2 linked regions of the Macaca mulatta genome follow. The protein of the gene in region 1 interacts with the protein of each later gene in a pairwise test. Links are inferred from orthologs where the notes say so. Each region holds a gene or a part of one and is shown on either strand. Other genes may lie near its edges. The genes, in order: PRMT1 and SPEG.

The links.
Region 2: the proteins of PRMT1 (region 1) and SPEG interact in binary tests that used the Homo sapiens proteins (3 or more experiments, as listed by UniProt). The two-hybrid records come from large-scale screens. The link is inferred for Macaca mulatta from reciprocal best matches to the Homo sapiens genes PRMT1 and SPEG.

What each region holds. Positions count from the first base shown.
Region 1 is NC_133424.1:62,140,743-62,144,406, forward strand, and holds the end of PRMT1 (protein arginine N-methyltransferase 1), read left to right. Parts: intron 1-361; coding exon 362-512; coding exon of another isoform or gene 513-604; intron 605-904; coding exon of another isoform or gene 905-962; exon of another isoform or gene 963-1,183; coding exon 1,184-1,305; intron 1,306-2,721; coding exon 2,722-2,805; 3' UTR 2,806-3,007; downstream 3,008-3,664. UniProt on the Homo sapiens protein: Arginine methyltransferase that methylates (mono and asymmetric dimethylation) the guanidino nitrogens of arginyl residues present in proteins such as ESR1, histone H2, H3 and H4, FMR1, ILF3, HNRNPA1, HNRNPD, NFATC2IP, SUPT5H, TAF15, EWS, HABP4, SERBP1, RBM15, FOXO1, CHTOP, MAP3K5/ASK1, MICU1 and NPRL2.
Region 2 is NC_133417.1:124,683,224-124,687,025, forward strand, and holds part of SPEG (striated muscle preferentially expressed protein kinase), read left to right. Parts: intron 1-804; exon of another isoform or gene 805-811; coding exon of another isoform or gene 812-844; intron 845-1,842; coding exon of another isoform or gene 1,843-1,885; intron 1,886-2,754; coding exon 2,755-2,784; intron 2,785-3,377; coding exon 3,378-3,467; intron 3,468-3,549; coding exon 3,550-3,802.

The sequences.
Region 1 (3,664 bases):
AGAGCGGGGAGCACGGAGAGGGGGGAGCGTGGAGAGGGGGGAGCAGGGTGCCTGCATTCCCAGGAGGTCTGGCCAGGTGGGGTCGGGGCGGGGTGGGCTCTGGACAGAGTTAGGGTGGCGGCGCCAGGTTTGGGTGCGGGAGAGAAGGGAGCAAAGAATCTGGGCTCAAACCGAGGCGGTTTATTGGGAGCCGGACAGTCAGGATGAGGAGTGAATGAGGAGCTGAGGCTGGGTGCCAGTAAGGGAGGGCCAGCGGGAAGGGGACAGTGAGGTCACAGGCCCTCTGGGAGCTTGAGGGAGGGAGGAGGGGATGAAGCGAGGTGGGGACACATCCCGGAGCTCACCCTCTCCTGTCCTGCAGGAGGTGGACATCTACACCGTCAAGGTGGAAGACCTGACGTTCACCTCCCCGTTCTGCCTGCAAGTGAAGCGGAATGACTACGTGCACGCCCTGGTGGCCTACTTCAACATCGAGTTCACGCGCTGCCACAAGAGGACGGGCTTCTCCACCAGTGAGGCGGGGCCCGCAGGGCTGGGGGCTGCTCCTGAGCCAGGGCCGAGGGGCACCCACATAGTGGAGGGGGTGACAGAAACGGGCAGAGGGGCCGGGCACGGTGGCTCAAGCCTGTAATCCCAGCACTTTGGGAGGCCGAGGCGGGTGGATCACGAGGTCAGGAGATCGAGACTATCCTGGCTAACATGGTGAAACCCCGTCTCTACTAAAAATACAAAAAACTAGCCGGGCATGGTGGCGGGCGCCTGTAGTCTCAGCTACTTGGGAGGCTGAGGCGGCAGAATGGCGTGAACCTGGGAGGCGGAGCTTGCAGTGAGCCGAGATCACGCCACTGCACTCCAGCCTGGGAGACACAGCGAGACTCCGTCTCAAAAAAAAAAAAAAAAAAAGAAACGGGCAGAGGGAGCCATGGGGACATGTGTGTTCCAGCGTGAGCTCTGCCATGTAGCAGTCACATGGCCTTGGGCAAGTGACCTGAGTGTGCAGTGCCTCAGTTTCCTCATCCACAAAAGCCTGACACGGTCCCTGTCTCCAAAGCTGAATGACAGGGAGGTGACTCACGGACAGCAGTCCCGTCAGCTGTCAGGGGGGTGGACATTCCAACAGAGGGAACACAAGACTGGGGCCAGGGCAGCAGGCCAAGGCCAGCTGACCCGCCTGCGCCCCCAGGCCCTGAGTCCCCGTACACGCACTGGAAGCAGACAGTGTTCTACATGGAGGACTACCTGACCGTGAAGACGGGCGAGGAGATCTTCGGCACCATCGGCATGCGGCCCAATGCCAAGAACAACGTGAGGCTCTGGGCAGCTGGGCAGGAGGGTGGCAGCCGGGGTGGGGAGCATGGATAGGGGCAGTGGTAGGGGGGAATGGTGGCAGCGTAGGGGATGGGGGTAGCTGGGGCGGATGGGGGCAGCTGGCAGGGGCGAGTGCCTCTGCCTGTTCCCGGGTCCCTGAGCCCCTCAGCCCCACGCCTGTCTACACAGCAGATTTCTTAGCATTTACTGGAAGATGGGCCTGGGGACCCAGGCCAAAGCCCTGTCCTCCTGGTGCTTCCAGTCTACACAAGGGGATCAGTGACATGGTGATGCCAGTGGGAGGTGACGTCTGTCAGGCTGGGAGCAGGGCAGACAGGTGTTGGCGTGGGTGACCTCCAGGGCAAGAGGCGGCCCCGGTAGAGCGCACAGGGTTTGCTAGCCCAGGTGGGAGGCATGAGAGGAGGAGAAAGGCAGCTTTTTGTTTTCCACTCCCCCTTTTTCCTCCTGAGCACCTGGTAGGAGCTGCCATCACCTGAGATCAGGGGGTTTCCAGGGGAGCTGGGGGGGGCTTCTGGGAGAGAGGGTCTGGGCAGAGAGGTCCAGTGTGGCGGGTTTGAGCAGGCAGGAGGATGGAAGGCCGGGAGCCTGGAGTCACCGGGAGTGGTGTGGGCTGGAAGAGTGAGTCCCGGCCCATGGGTGCGAGGGTGGGTGGCACTCAGGGCAGTCATGGAATGTGGGCCCCGGGACGCCCTCGAGCCCGTGACAGCAGCAGTTGTCAGCTGGGCAGTTTCAGTGCCCCCCACCCCCGACAGAGGACGTTCGTCACCATCTGTGGAAACATTTGTGGTTGTCACTCTGGAGAAGGGGTGCTCCTGGCATCTGGTATGTAGGGGCCAGGGGCTGGTAAACGTCCTACAACCACAGGACCACCCCCTGCAAAGACTCCTGTAGCCCCTGGGGCCACGGCGCTAGCTGGGAAACAGATACTGGAGAGGGAGGAGGAGTCCTCGGGGCTGTTGGCAACTTGATCCCCTCTTCCTGTGCTGGAGGGTATGGGGGGTCTTCCGGAAGCCTGGGAGGAGAAGTGGAGACAGAGGCTGGACCACTGCGTTTCACTGGAATGTTTGCCTGAGCAGAAGTGGGCTTGGGAGAGGTTTTCTGATTTATGAAAGAAGCAATCACTGCGTTGCTGATAGGGAACGTCTTGATGGAGAAATCCAAGGGCAAGGGATAGCAGCCAGGCTCTGCTCCTGAGTGAACCTAGTGGGCTTGAGGGTGTCCACGTGGCGCTGTCCCTTGACAGGGTCAGGACAGCTGCTAGGGTGGGACCAGCAGTTGGGGTCTGCAGTGTGGAGATGGGCAGGAAGCTGGAGCCCAGCGCATGGCCTGCCTGCACCCCCCTGCCACCACCTCCTGGTGGGTTCCGCCCTCATGCCCGCCCTCTCCCCACAGCGGGACCTGGACTTCACCATCGACCTGGACTTCAAGGGCCAGCTGTGCGAGCTGTCCTGCTCCACTGACTACCGGATGCGCTGAGGCCCGGCTCTCCCGCCCTGCACGGGCCCAGGGGCTGAGCGTTCCTAGGCGGTTTCGGGGCTCCCCCTTCCTCTCCCTTCTTCCCACAGAAGGGGGTTTTAGGGGCCTGGGCTGGGGGGATGGGGAGGGCACATCGTGACTGTGTTTTTCATAACTTATGTTTTTATATGGTTGCATTTACGCCAATAAATCCTCAGCTGGGGTCTGGTTCCATTTCCTGGGGGCAAAGGAGGTTTGGGGTTTCCTTCGCAGGTGCTGAGGTGCCAGCCTGAGCAGTGGGGGGACCGGCCTTGGAGCCTGCTGGTGGCTGCCATTCTGTGGATCTGCATCTCCCCTCCCCTGTCGCTAGGCCTCTGGCTCCCTTCCACGGCTCTCTCTCAGGGTCTGTCCCCTCCTCGGCTGTCTCAGGCTCCCTCCGGCTCCCTCCCCTCCACGGCTCTCTCAGGCTCCCTCCCATCCACAGCTGTCTCTCAGGGTCTTTGTCCCACTCTTCATCCCCTCCTGGGTCTGCGCCCCTCCCCTCTGCAGTGCCCCTGTGTCCTCCTGCCTGGTGGGGGATGGGGTTGGCGTTCCAGCACAGCCAGCCCTCAAGTTTCCCAGAACAGTCTCCCCACCTTCCCCCAACACTCACATTGTACCTCTCTGGCTGTTTTTTCCTGTTTGGGTCCCTCCAAGGCCCAACTGTGCCCAGCCCTCTGCAGCTGGGGACACTGAGTGGGTTGGGGGTGTATGTTGGGGAGGATAGAATTTCTTGTGGGGGTGTGGCCCTGCTTCCTCCCCTAGCATGGCTTGGGGCTTAGGGCTGGGGACTTGCCCTCCATGGAGGTCAGTGGGAGTTGCAGCTCAAAGGTGGCAGGGC
Region 2 (3,802 bases), on another chromosome or scaffold:
TTCCCTGTGAGTGAGAATACTGGCCAACTTTGTGAATAAGGGGGTACCTCTGTGCACCTTTGCTTGTGTGTATGAATGTATGGGGGTAGGGGGCGCGCATGGGACAGTCGAGAGGTAAGGTAAGATAAAGCCCTCTCTGGCTTCCTTGAGAAGCCTGGGGGTTTTCAGTCTGAGTCCATGTTAACACGCAGTCCACACCTTCCAGGACCCTTGCCCTGCGTTTGACCTAGGCGCCCCCACCCGGCGCTGTGCCCTTCGGCGAGTTCGGTTCTGCCTGGCACAGTGTGTGTGCGCGCATGTTTGTGGAATGAGCAAGTAGAGATGCTGCTGACCTTCCAGAGAGGCCCCGTGGGAGGAGGTGAGGGTGGGAGGAGGCTGCGCTGGGCTGCCAGAAAGTGGCCTGAGCTAGAGGCCATTGCACCCCTTTCTGTGCCTCAGTTTCCTCATGTGCCTAGGGCTCAGGAGGCAGATACAGGGTGGGGGTCCGCGGCTCTCGGCGTCAGGAGGTGACTGGTGGTCGTGTAGGGAGGCAGGTGAGGGCCGCCCCGGGGTAAGCAGGGGGACAGGACAAGGAAGGGGCCCCAGGTGGGGTGCAGGCTGGCGAGGGAGGGGCGGACTCCAGCGCCGCCGCCGCCGCTGCCGCTGCCGTCGCCGCCTTACCCCCACCCGGCTCCCGAGGCCCCGGGCTCCTTCCGCCACCCGCGCCGGCTCCCGCCCGCTCCCCAGCTCGCCCCCGGCCCCGCCTCCGACTCCGCCCCGCCCCCGCCCGTCCCCTCCTCGCCCGGCCGCCGGCCCGGCCCCCTCCCCCGCCATGAAGAAGCTGTGGGTGAAGAAGCGTTTCCAGGTGAGGGCTCCGGGGGCGGGAGGCGCCGGGAGGGGGCAGGGAGGCCTGGGCGCCCCGGAGGGAGGGCGGGTCACCGCAGCTGGGCCCGGTGGAGGGGGCGCTGGAGCCGCGCCTGCCCCACCCGAGCCCCGCTGGAGGCGGCGGGCCGGGCGCGATCTAGGGGCTCCCGGGTTTGCGTCCTGGGCGCGCAGGCCCCTCCCCGCGCTGAAGGGCAGATCCCCCCGCTCCTCGATCGCCCGCAATCCCCGCGACCACCGGGGAAGACCCCCGCTGCAGCGTTCGGCGTGGGGCGCCCACTTGCTTCTTTGCCACCCCTTCTTCTCTCTCCTCTGTCCAACCTCAACCCCGGGCCCCGGCCCCCCGCCCGGCTTGCCCCAGCCCCCCACTCTGGAGCCTTCCATCTTCGGAGCTCCTGAATGCAACGCACACGGATCCGCGCTGAGCTCAACACATTCCCCAAGCCCTGCCCTGTCCTCCGCGCACCTGGGCCTCCTGCATTCGTGAGGCTCTGGCCCTCTGCCCCCAACATCCCTCCCCCACACCTACCCAGGTATCTGTCCTCCCCCAGCAGGAATCTGCGCCCTCGTTCCTTCATCTCCCAGTCACTCAAGCACCCTGCCCCCCGCATCTCCATCTTCTCCTTCTCCTCACTGAGCCTGACTACCTCGTCTTCTATCCTCTTTCTCTGGGGCTGTTGCCCTGGTCCCAGGCTGTGAGCCTCTGTCCAGTGGGACGTTCCAGCTTCCACCTGCAGCCTGCCGTTCTCTCCTTCCTCCCCCGCTCCTCGCAAGAGCCCAGCTGGGTACCCTGGAAGAAGGCAGGGGAGCCATTCCCTACCGGGGAAGCTGGTCACTCTGGGTCTCTGCCCACCTCCCCTCTCACACACACACTGGCCAGGGAATGAGTTTCTGCTTGATGTTGCAGTACTGGATGGGAGGCACAGGGACCTTAAGAACAAGCCTCCCCCTCAACTACTCATTCTGGCTTTTCTCTTTCAGAAAACCGGCCATTCCCGCCGGGCCTTTGGCCGACTCACCCATGGTGCGTGGACCGTGGGCGTCCTTGCTCTAGCCCATGCCTACTCCTCCTCTTGGTCCCTGTCCCTCTGTGAGGCATCAAGGCCCTTGAAGACAGCCCATGAGATATGGGACCCTCCCACACACCCCACACTTATCTACCACCCACCTGACCAGGCCCCCTGTGCCCTACAGCTGAGAGAGGACCCGGCAGCAGGGAGGGCGGCTCGCTAGCACACTGGGTGCCGTGTTCTCCATGTGAGGCCTAGTGGGAAGGAGTTCATTGCCATGCTTTGGCAACCAGTATGTGGCTCCTGCTTGTCATGGCAGCCAGAGGGAAACTGAGGCATAGAACCTGATAGAATCTGGGAAAGTTGAAAATACTCCCAGGAACCTTTGCTCCTAACCTAACCACTGGGCATTTTTGAGGACAATTCAACAGTAGAAGAGAGGGACCTTGAGGAAGGTGCCTGTCACATCATGATGCAGACAGATAAGGGGTTGGTTTGCAAGGAAGGGTCAAAGCACAATGCAAATATTGTAATAGAGGGTGGGCCTGACTCCTAATGGGAGGCCCAGGTCTGCGGCTGGACTGAACACAAGCAGGTGTGTGTGTGTGTGTGTGTGTGTGTGTGTGTGTGGCCAGTGGCGGCACCAGTAAGTGCCAAGGATACCAGAACCACTGGGGCAGCTGGAATAACCAGCCCAAGTATGGGGGTCCCCAGTGCTGGGCACATCCCAGGTATCTCCCTCCTCACCCATTGCCACAGGGCACCTCTGGGGACTGGGTACCTCATGCCCCTTCTGTCCTGACTGCCCTCCATGCCCTGCCCCACAAACGCTCTGATAACAGTCTGTCCCTGTCTCTCTCCTGCTGCTCCTATGGAAGCGAAGTTTTCCGCTCCTGCAGAAAGCAAAGTTACGGTAGGAAACTGGCTCCTGCTCTAGCCCCCCGCGTCCCCCGCTTTCCAACCCGGCCCCGGCCTCTCCTCACCCTGCCTCAGCTGCACCCGATGCCTTCCAGCTGGTTTGGGGTAGAGGACAGGCTGGCCCTGCGGTTGGTCGAGTGCCCTGGCGGTACGACTCTGAGGTGACTCCTCTTTGTTCCTGGGGTGCTTGAACCCAGACTTTAGAACCTTGGAACCTAGGACCTGATGATTTTGGGGGTGCACAGGAGCTTAAGCTTTCACTGACAATGGGAGGAGGGAGAATGGAGGAGGCCCTGATAATCCATTAAGATATTGGCAGATGGGGAGGGGGTGGCAGTTTGGAGGGCCCTACGGAGGTAAACGTGAGTAACCAGGGGCCCAGAGATGGAGCCACGGCACTGTCATGGGAGGGGTTATCCTGAGCAGCCCAGGCTGGGCAGGAGATGTGGGGAGCAAAAGAGAGGAGGTGCTGGCAGCCCTGCCAGTGATAAGATGGAGCCTGCTGTTGGCAGGGAGGCAGAAGGCAACAGGGAAGAGTTGGAGGCAGAGGGAGGAGGGCCCTGCCCACACAGACCCCTTCTTCTCCAGACTCAGAGACGGCTGAGGATGACATCAGCGATGTGCAGGGGACCCAGCGCCTGGAGCTTCGGGATGACGGGGCCTTCAGCACCCCCACGGGTGAGCTCCTGGGGTGTACAAAGAGCAGGCAGGCGGGTTTCCCACAAGGGGTGCCTCAGTCTCATGGTGCTCCTTTCTCTAGGGGGCTCTGACACCCTGGTGGGCACCTCCCTGGACACACCCCCGACCTCCGTGACAGGCACCTCGGAAGAGCAAGTGAGCTGGTGGGGCAGCGGGCAGACGGTCCTGGAGCAGGAAGCGGGCAGTGGGGGTGGCACCCGCCGCCTCCCGGGCAGCCCAAGGCAAGCACAGGCAACCGGGGCCGGGCCACGGCACCTGGGGGTGGAGCCGCTGGTGCGGGCATCTCGAGCTAATCTGGTGGGCGCAAGCTGGGG